2 linked regions of the Oryzias latipes genome follow. The protein of the gene in region 2 interacts with the protein of the main gene of each other region in a pairwise test. Links are inferred from orthologs where the notes say so. Each region holds a gene or a part of one and is shown on either strand. Other genes may lie near its edges. The genes, in order: qdpr and ankrd13a.

Region 1 (3,816 bases), on a different chromosome or scaffold from region 2:
ACAGTTTCTCCCACCACCTTTCATTCTTGGACTCCAACATTCTGCTATACGTCTATGAAGTGTCTCAGCTGCAAAGGCCTGAAAGACGTTTCTGAAAACAAATTTCTGTTGGAGGGAGCTTCAGCAGAGTTCAACAGGGAGTCCTCAGAATAGTTATGGGCAACAGTTCAAAAAAAAACTTTAAAGACATTTGTTGCTTATTTTCTGTCACTCCTGATGTAAAACAGAAAAGGCAGAAAGTGGAATAAAGTTGTCTGAAGCAGAGAGGCAGCTGCTGTCTTCTGCTCAGTCCTGCAAAGGGCTGACAGAAGTCTTTCATGGGGGTGAGCAGGTGATTGATGGGCTGCATGTGAGGTCATGATGGGGCGTCGTTTGTCCTCAGCCGTTGGAGCCGTGTTGCTCTGCGGATGTTTTCAGTCGCTCCGGCGTGTCTTTCACGTCTTCAGGGCAAAGAGGCATCACTTCAGCTCACAGAAACATGGCTCTGTTCATTCGCTGACAAGAAGATTATTTTCTATTATGTCTACAAAGAAAAATAGTAAGCAGGTAAAAAACAATAAAAAAAAAACTCCTGGCTGTTTAGGCAGAACAAAATTTTGTTCTCTGGAGGAATGACTGTTGATGGATGAGTAATTATAAAACTATTTAAATGTGAATTTAGTGGCGACACTGATCTGAGGTCTCCATCAAACTTCTTGATTTTGTGTTTTCATTATTGGCTCCCTCATTACAACAAACGCTGCAGTGTCACTGCGATGTGATGAATCTAAATACATGTATCATTTTACAACAAAAGAATCACCATTTGATTCTGTAATTCTCTGGTTTCATTTGAAGCTTTTCTCATCAGACAGAAGGATGTAAATAAATCCAATGATGTGATTCTCATCTCAGCTTCTGATTTGAGCACAGGAGATGCAGCTGTGGGTCACAGCTCTAACAACTGCTTTCTTCAGTGTACGGTTTATGTCGCTGGGCAGAAAGGAAGCACTTCATAGTCTAGCTGGGCTAATGTAATTAAGGCAAAGGACATTCACAGGTTTTTACGTGCAAGCAGCACAAAATCTGACGGAAATTCACAGAGATCAGGCATCATACGGGCAGAGATGCACATGCTGCAGATAAAGCCTCTCTTTCTTTAAAAAAAAAGTGTGACCAACAACATTTAGCCTCAGATGCGTGTAAAACACGTGCGAGCGATTCACCAATGTGGATTTTGGCTGCACGTATCACGTATGACCAACATCAATTTCCATTAGTTTTAGTGCTGGTTCCTCTAGAAAATGTATGAATAAAATCATCCATGTTTGAAAACTTTAGAAAAACATTAAAACATATACACATCGATGAACCAAACTAGCATGCTACTTGCTAGCGCTCACTTTAGCACACATTTCACAGCCTGATTTCTCTCTATTTAATCATGATTACTCTCTTGTCACGGTTCCTGTTGATCGGAATATTTTCTTGTCATGATGGTTTTTGTAGTTGATTGCAAAACCATTGCGTCCCCTTTTGTGATTCTTTGCGTGTTTGTCCGGACCTCCTTCGTTCTTCACTTGAGAAGACTGGATGCATCGTACTGGCACATGTATGTCACGTGACGGCCAGTCCAGTAATATGTATCAATGCGCTCATGTCAGCGCGGCTCAGAAGACATGATCTGCTGAGATCATCACTGACCAACGGTTGTTGTTCACAAATGAAGGGAAAAATCTGATTTTCAATCTACCTCACTTTCATTCCTCTGCTTCTTTTCTGGTTTGTTTTTAATAAAACCTCGACTCTGTGAATTTTAATGATGCAAAATCAATTTTTGAGCTTTTGACTGTATTAAAATGTTCAATCCTCACATAAAAACATGTATGTCAAGAAAGTTTGTTTAGTTAACAAGTTTATCACAGATCTGACCCCAAGTCTGTACACAATAATTACAGGTACAGGAAACACGTCCCAACCAACCAAGTTGCAGGAACCGTCAGCTGTAGGAGCAGTGTTCAGAACCAAGCCTTCCACGTTGATTCAGAACCGAGCCACTTTGTTTGATTGACAAAAATAATGACGCCCATAAAAATGGAGCCTCTGAGGAAACCGTTCAAAACTGGTTTTGCATCTCAAACCTCCTTTTAGTTTAGTGAATGGAGGGCATCCATAGAGCCCAGCTCCTGTCATGTGACCATGTGTGAGATTGCTTATCATATGTGGACCTGCCTGCCTGCCTGTGTGTGATGATGTCTGTAGAGCTGCCGTTCTGACAGAATCCTTTGTTTTTGCAGGACGTTCTTCAAGTGGGCTGCAGGTGAGAACAGACCTGCCTCAGGAAGCCTCATGCAGCTTCTGACCTCTGACGGCCAAACCCAGGCCGTGGCTGCTCAGTAGAGAACAGCCGGGGGGGTCTGATAGGCAGGGGATAGATGGAACCAAAGAGGATGGGGTGGAGCAGAGCAGAGCTGGTGAAGAGTGGGAGAGAAGATTGATAAGGATGGGAAGAAGAGGAGAGAGCAGGATGGAGGAAGAGCAGACTCACAGTGCCATCTAGTGACAAATCACTACATCTGTCCAGGTTTAACACAGCCGTCAAACCTCCCAACTGTTCTTCCTGAAGGACCATCAGGAGGTAATGGTCCTGCAGAGCCGCAGACATCTGTGTGCTAAATGAGATGTTTCAGTGTATGTTTGAGGCTGCTGTAGAGCCACAGCAGCTAATAAAGTCGTACTTGTGATGCTTTACCGTGTGTGACGTCATATCAGAGTAATTCTGTCGTGGCAGTGTTATTACAGCAGATTCATGTACTAGAATCAGCAGAGCTTTGCCAGTTCTCCATCCTCTGAAGGGCCTTTCCTACCGGCTTACACAGCTCCAGCATCAGGTGTTGGTTCACTGTCTACACTCTGGAGTTCCTCTGCTCCTGTGGAAACTCCACAGATGAATCCCACCGTCTTCTCTAACACACCAAGTGTTTACAAATGGAGTGGCCTTATTTTCCTTTGCAGCTCTGAAGTGTCCTTCATGCTGTTGGCATGTCTGAAGTGTCCCGGTGATGTTGATTTGTCCTGTAGCGGTCCAACATGTGATGCCTCCAAAATAAAACTACTATTTTAAAAATTCACCTGCTAAATGAAGGAAACGTCTTTATGAGTGTTCATGGATGATAACCTTCCTCTGGTTCTGTGTGCAGAACAGTTACTCATTTCATTTAAATTGGAGGGGAAAGCTAATGTTTCTGATTTTCAAAGATCCACAACAGATTTTTTTATTTAGAAACATTCTTTTCGAAGCTGGAAGTTAAAACCATTTCAATTCAATGGGTAATGTTCAAACAAAACAAAAAAAAAAATCCTTTTTAAATGTCTTCAGTCTGTCTGTTGGCCCATCTTCTAGCCTCCTCATTAGATTCATGTTCCACCCCCGTTCTGCTGGCTTTGAGCAGCAGGGATCAGTCGTTCCCCATCGAAAATGTTAAAAAGCAAAACAAACCTACACCATTGGCCTGTAGGAACAAAAATGTTACAAGCTCTCCAGGAGCAAGTTATGAAGTGTTATTGTGGATCTGCTCGTCCTGGCCACATCTTCAGTGACTGGCAGGCTTCAGTGTATCAGAGGTTACAGTCACACATGAAATGATACAAGTTTGTGGTGATTACCTACACTAAAAATGGAGTAGCAGTGAAATTATTCAAATCACATCTTTTTGTTTTATAAATCTACCTTTACAGTTATTAATAAACATGATAACACATTTTCTTTTTAATGTCATTTTTGTTTTTTATTTACATCCATTCTCACAGCCACTAATCAGAAAAATTGTTCGTAGT
Region 2 (4,490 bases):
GCCTCTCAAAGGCAATGTCCTTTGTGTCCAAGTATGTGTTGACAATAGGGGTGGTCAGCCTTTTAGCGACTTCCTGCTCTGGAGGCTGCATCGATTCCAATGTCACGTCTTCCATTTCTTGAGATATGTTGAAGCGTTCAACATCAACCACTTGATCGTCGTGGTTTATCTCCATCAGCTCTGCACACGAATCTGCCGGGAGACAGAGCGATGCACTCGCGATCCCATTGGAAAACAGCTGAACTCAAGAAGAGAGGCCTCTTTGAGCATCATTTAGAAACACACAAACCATCTCCTCTGAATATGTAGCTCCTACGACCTCTGATCCATGTCATGTTTTCAAAGCCAAGAAGAGTGGCATCCACTCGCAGGCAGGCACCACTTTTCCATATGCGGCAGACATCGCTTGGACAAACCCGTGATAGAAGAGGAACTGGGAAGCAGCAGCAGGACACAAATGTCTTACAAAAAGACTATTTCACTCAGAAATGAAAAACAACAAAAAAAAAAAAACAGATAAACAGTTGCGCCAATTTGCTTTATAATCTGTTAGTTAGAGATACTTTTTTTCTGTCCATATGCACAATTGTTGAACAAAACCCTTTGGAAAAGAATTTACTTTATAAAACACATTTTCCAAAATCACAAAACAAGACACATCTTACTCCAGCTGGTGAATTCCCACTTCATTTCCATATAGAAGTCTGGAGACTGTGGGTGAAAATGGAACAATTTCATATTAACCAAAACACAAACGGTGTCGTTAGAAAGAATGAAGGCAAAGAAAGTTTTGAGGAAAACCTTTCGAATCTTTGACAGGAGCTCTGGAACTCCTCCCAAAGCAGTGGAGGCTTTGAGGTAGTCTCTGCGCTGAAGGACCAACTGGACCATCTCTGGATCTCCAGTGCTCACTGCTTCCTGCAACACTATACAGAAGCAAATATATATGCACAGACTAACAGGCCTTTCAAAGAAATAATGATTTATTCATGCACATTCAAAAGATAATCAACTTTAGTAATAATGAACTGAAATATCAGGAGTGAAATGCTATAAATACACCAATGATCAAGTGGGAAAGGCATCTTCTTCGATGATGTGTGATTTAAAGTTCCACTCCTATCATCTTTTGAACTATTGTTAAAACGTTTCCAGTGTTTTTTTTTAAATTATGATTTAGTCATTTTCAGCCAAAGCAAAGAACAAAAAACAAACCTGTGTCATTTTCTGAGACAGGTTCTGCAGAGCAGCAGAAGTTCATTAGAAATTTGCCTCTGAGTTGTGGCTGGGACTGTTAGCATGATTTCCCACCACACCTTTGTTTACACTCTTCCCAGCTACCCAACAGCCCCAACCTAAAATTAGCGGAGCAATTACAGTGGCGAGCAATATTGGAGCTATCCAGCCATACAGCTTTAAACCAGATGCGAGCTTGCATGAGGAAAAGGAAGACGTACACGAATCTATTTGCCTGCAGGTGGATCGAACACAACGGAGCAGAACAGGGATCTTATGGTCTGCAGATGATAATTTGTCATTTTTTCATCTGCTTCTGATTCACAAGTATTTGAATAAAAAAATTCTCAGCAAAGCAGTTTTAAGCTGAATTTTCTAAATATATGTCCTCCATTGTGTGAGAAATGCTACAAGAACATGTTAATAACGCAAAAACACAATTTCCATTGGAGTAGTAGGTCTTTAAAGCAAACCTGTCCAGTTGTTGGCATTTTCTTTAGTTACTGCAGCACCATGTCTCAGGAGGACTCTCACTGATTCCAGGTGTCCCAGTGACACGGCCAGGTGTAATGCTGTTCGACCTCTGGGGTCAACGTTGTCAATGTCGTTCTAAAAACAAAACAAATACAAGAAGTCTAATTCAGATGCCTAAGTCGCACTTCTGGTTTCGGTTATAGCAATGGTTATAGAGCAGAAATGAACAGTCGTTATCATTACAGCTGTCAATAAATGTTAATTAGACAAATATTTACAAAAATTAGCAAATAACAGGTCCTCAAACGCACCATATTATATTGACTGCTACCACCATTCGGTTCGACTGTGTTGTGTTAACAGAGTTTCCGTTGTAAACCATTAAAAAAAAAGAAAAGAAAAGAAACTAATAAAAAACAAGCATTTGTTGATTCGTCAGCGACTAACTTTAGCTTAAAACCGATAATAGAACATTGTTGGTGTTTAGCATCTGTCAACATCACTGGCCTACTTTCTGCTCCAGGCACTCAACAGCTAACTCCCGGCTTCAGCTAACAATCAAAGAACGAATGTGAGTTTGTAGGTTTTTACCAACCTGTAGCCTTATTTGTTCCTCCAGTCTTCTGTAATCATTGTCCCACACTGCGACATGCAGGGGAAACTTCACTCTGAAGTCTTCGCTAACGTCGTTAGCCGTGGACATCTTCCTCTTGGCGAGCCTTTCACGGATGGTAGCTTCCAATAATTTAAGCCATGAAACAACACTATAGTCACGCTAGAAATGTATCAAGCATACGGTACATGCTTTTACATTGAAATAATACCCAAACAAGAGTCTAACTTTTCCCTCTCGAGCCTTCCCCTAAATAAAACTTTCGAATAAGGAAGTACCAGAAGAAGGACTCAGCAACGACAGGGGTGTCGGACAGAAAGCCAGTATGGCAAGCCTTATTAATAAATTTTAAATAATTTAAAACCCTTTTTGAAATCTAAACCAACTTACACTTGACACCCAATTAGTTGATCCAGTACAGAGGCCGTTACAATGAATGTTGTTGTTTTTCTTTTAAGGAAAAACGAAAGAAATAAATGGCAGTTCCAGTTTGGACTCTACCATTACTAATAAAAAGCTTGGGGGAGTTTTCTAAAACCCATCAAAGTACTAACCAGGTAAACATTTGTATCCGAACAAAAACTATTGTCCGTAATATTTTAAAAACGCATGTAATTATTATGAGAAATAATTTTTAAAATTCAATGTAAAAACCTGCAGATATTTAAAAAGAAATGTTCCGTTTCTGACATCAACATTACGCTGGTGCTTTCAAGTGTTTGCTAAGAAAGTAAGAAACCTTTAATCGTACTATCAGTGTGATGTGGTTACAGCAACTACATAAACCAACAAGTTTGAATTATTTGAAAGCGTTTACTTATAAACGAGTAACAACTATAAGTAATTTTTTCAATACCCCCATTTGTTTAATTTGTCTTGACTTTAATTCTCATCTGTTTTGTGTCTACTTTTATAAGCAGACATCTTTATTATTTGTTCTGATTGTTTCTTTAGCGTAATATTTGACTTTCTTAGCTTTACATTTTTGTTAAGTGACTATAGTGTTGGTTTCTATTAGGGGTGTAGGGCAAAATTGATTCTGCAACATATCACTATACTTGTATCAATTTAAAATGCTGTCAGTATGATATTTATCTAATTAGTTTATGAGCATCCTTCAGTGTGGGATTCGTGTTTACCACATAAACCCTCAACCGCTAGTTGGTAGCACAGCACACAGAGCATCTTTGAGCAGCTCTACACCGCACCAAAACAACAACATCTTGTGAGAATCAGCTTGTGTTAAATGCTAAATGTTCAGTCAGCTTCGCAGTTTTTGTAGTTATGAGACATTTACTATTTAGTTTTTGCTTGGGTTGGGTAAAGAACCCAAACTCTGTGCCACGTTGCTGCCAGTACCATATAAAAACGCAGATTGTGGTGATTTGTAGTGGGCTCCAGATGAGATTTGTTACACATATCGTATAGTGAGACATTTATCACAATACATATCGTATCGCCAGACTCTTACCAATACACGCCCCTAGCTTCTTTGCCTATGTCTCTCTCCTGTCTGATTGACGGGCTATCAAGAAATAAAATTAGTTCTAAAATGCTTTAGGCTCTTTGGGTCCACCACTCAGGCCGCTACAAATTCTTGGTAACTGCACACTGGTCCAATCCATTATGTAACTATTATTTTAATGCAAAAATGTAAGTTTTGAGCCCGACTATAGACATATAGGCGTTAATCTATTTACGACTTCCACAAGTCATTGAACTTACCACCAAACCTATGTTTAATTTTTGCCCGCAATTTTCCCTTCCAGGTCAATATTTACATGCGCTGGTGTACAGTTCTTTAAAACCCGCTACACTGCAACTACGTGTTATTTTTATGCTAATATAAAATATTGCAATGGTGAGTACTATGGGTAATTGCATGATTTAGCACAATGCCTTGCCATTAGGCTTTATTACCCAGATCTGTGAAAGTTTTTTTTTTGTACCTGACAGTCAAGATTATGGGCAAAACAAACCCGGTTATGATTGCTGTCGCCGCTGCTCTGCCTACAGGAGGCTGAGAAGTAAACTACCAAATAGGAATAGAGTACTTAGCCAGGCAGGTGGCTTCTAGTCAGCAATGTGTCAGCCAAAGCAGCTCATACTGTAAGGGTTGAGTGGTTAAGTTGTCATGGTCGTCACACAAGCGCTAGCCAAACCCCAA

What was found.
Region 1: the proteins of ankrd13a (region 2) and qdpr interact in a two-hybrid assay, tested with the Homo sapiens proteins (2 studies listed by BioGRID). The two-hybrid records come from large-scale screens. The link is inferred for Oryzias latipes from reciprocal best matches to the Homo sapiens genes ANKRD13A and QDPR.

The regions. Positions count from the first base shown.
Region 1 is NC_019868.2:550,533-554,348, reverse strand, and holds the end of qdpr (dihydropteridine reductase), read left to right. Parts: intron 1-2,276; coding exon 2,277-2,379; 3' UTR 2,380-3,110; downstream 3,111-3,816. UniProt on the Homo sapiens protein: Catalyzes the conversion of quinonoid dihydrobiopterin into tetrahydrobiopterin.
Region 2 is NC_019867.2:13,052,018-13,056,507, forward strand, and holds the start of ankrd13a (ankyrin repeat domain-containing protein 13A), read right to left. Parts: upstream 3,026-4,490; 5' UTR 2,414-3,025; coding exon 2,306-2,413; intron 1,846-2,305; coding exon 1,710-1,845; intron 927-1,709; coding exon 802-926; intron 712-801; coding exon 666-711; intron 434-665; coding exon 290-433; intron 193-289; coding exon 3-192; intron 1-2. UniProt on the Homo sapiens protein: Ubiquitin-binding protein that specifically recognizes and binds 'Lys-63'-linked ubiquitin. Does not bind 'Lys-48'-linked ubiquitin.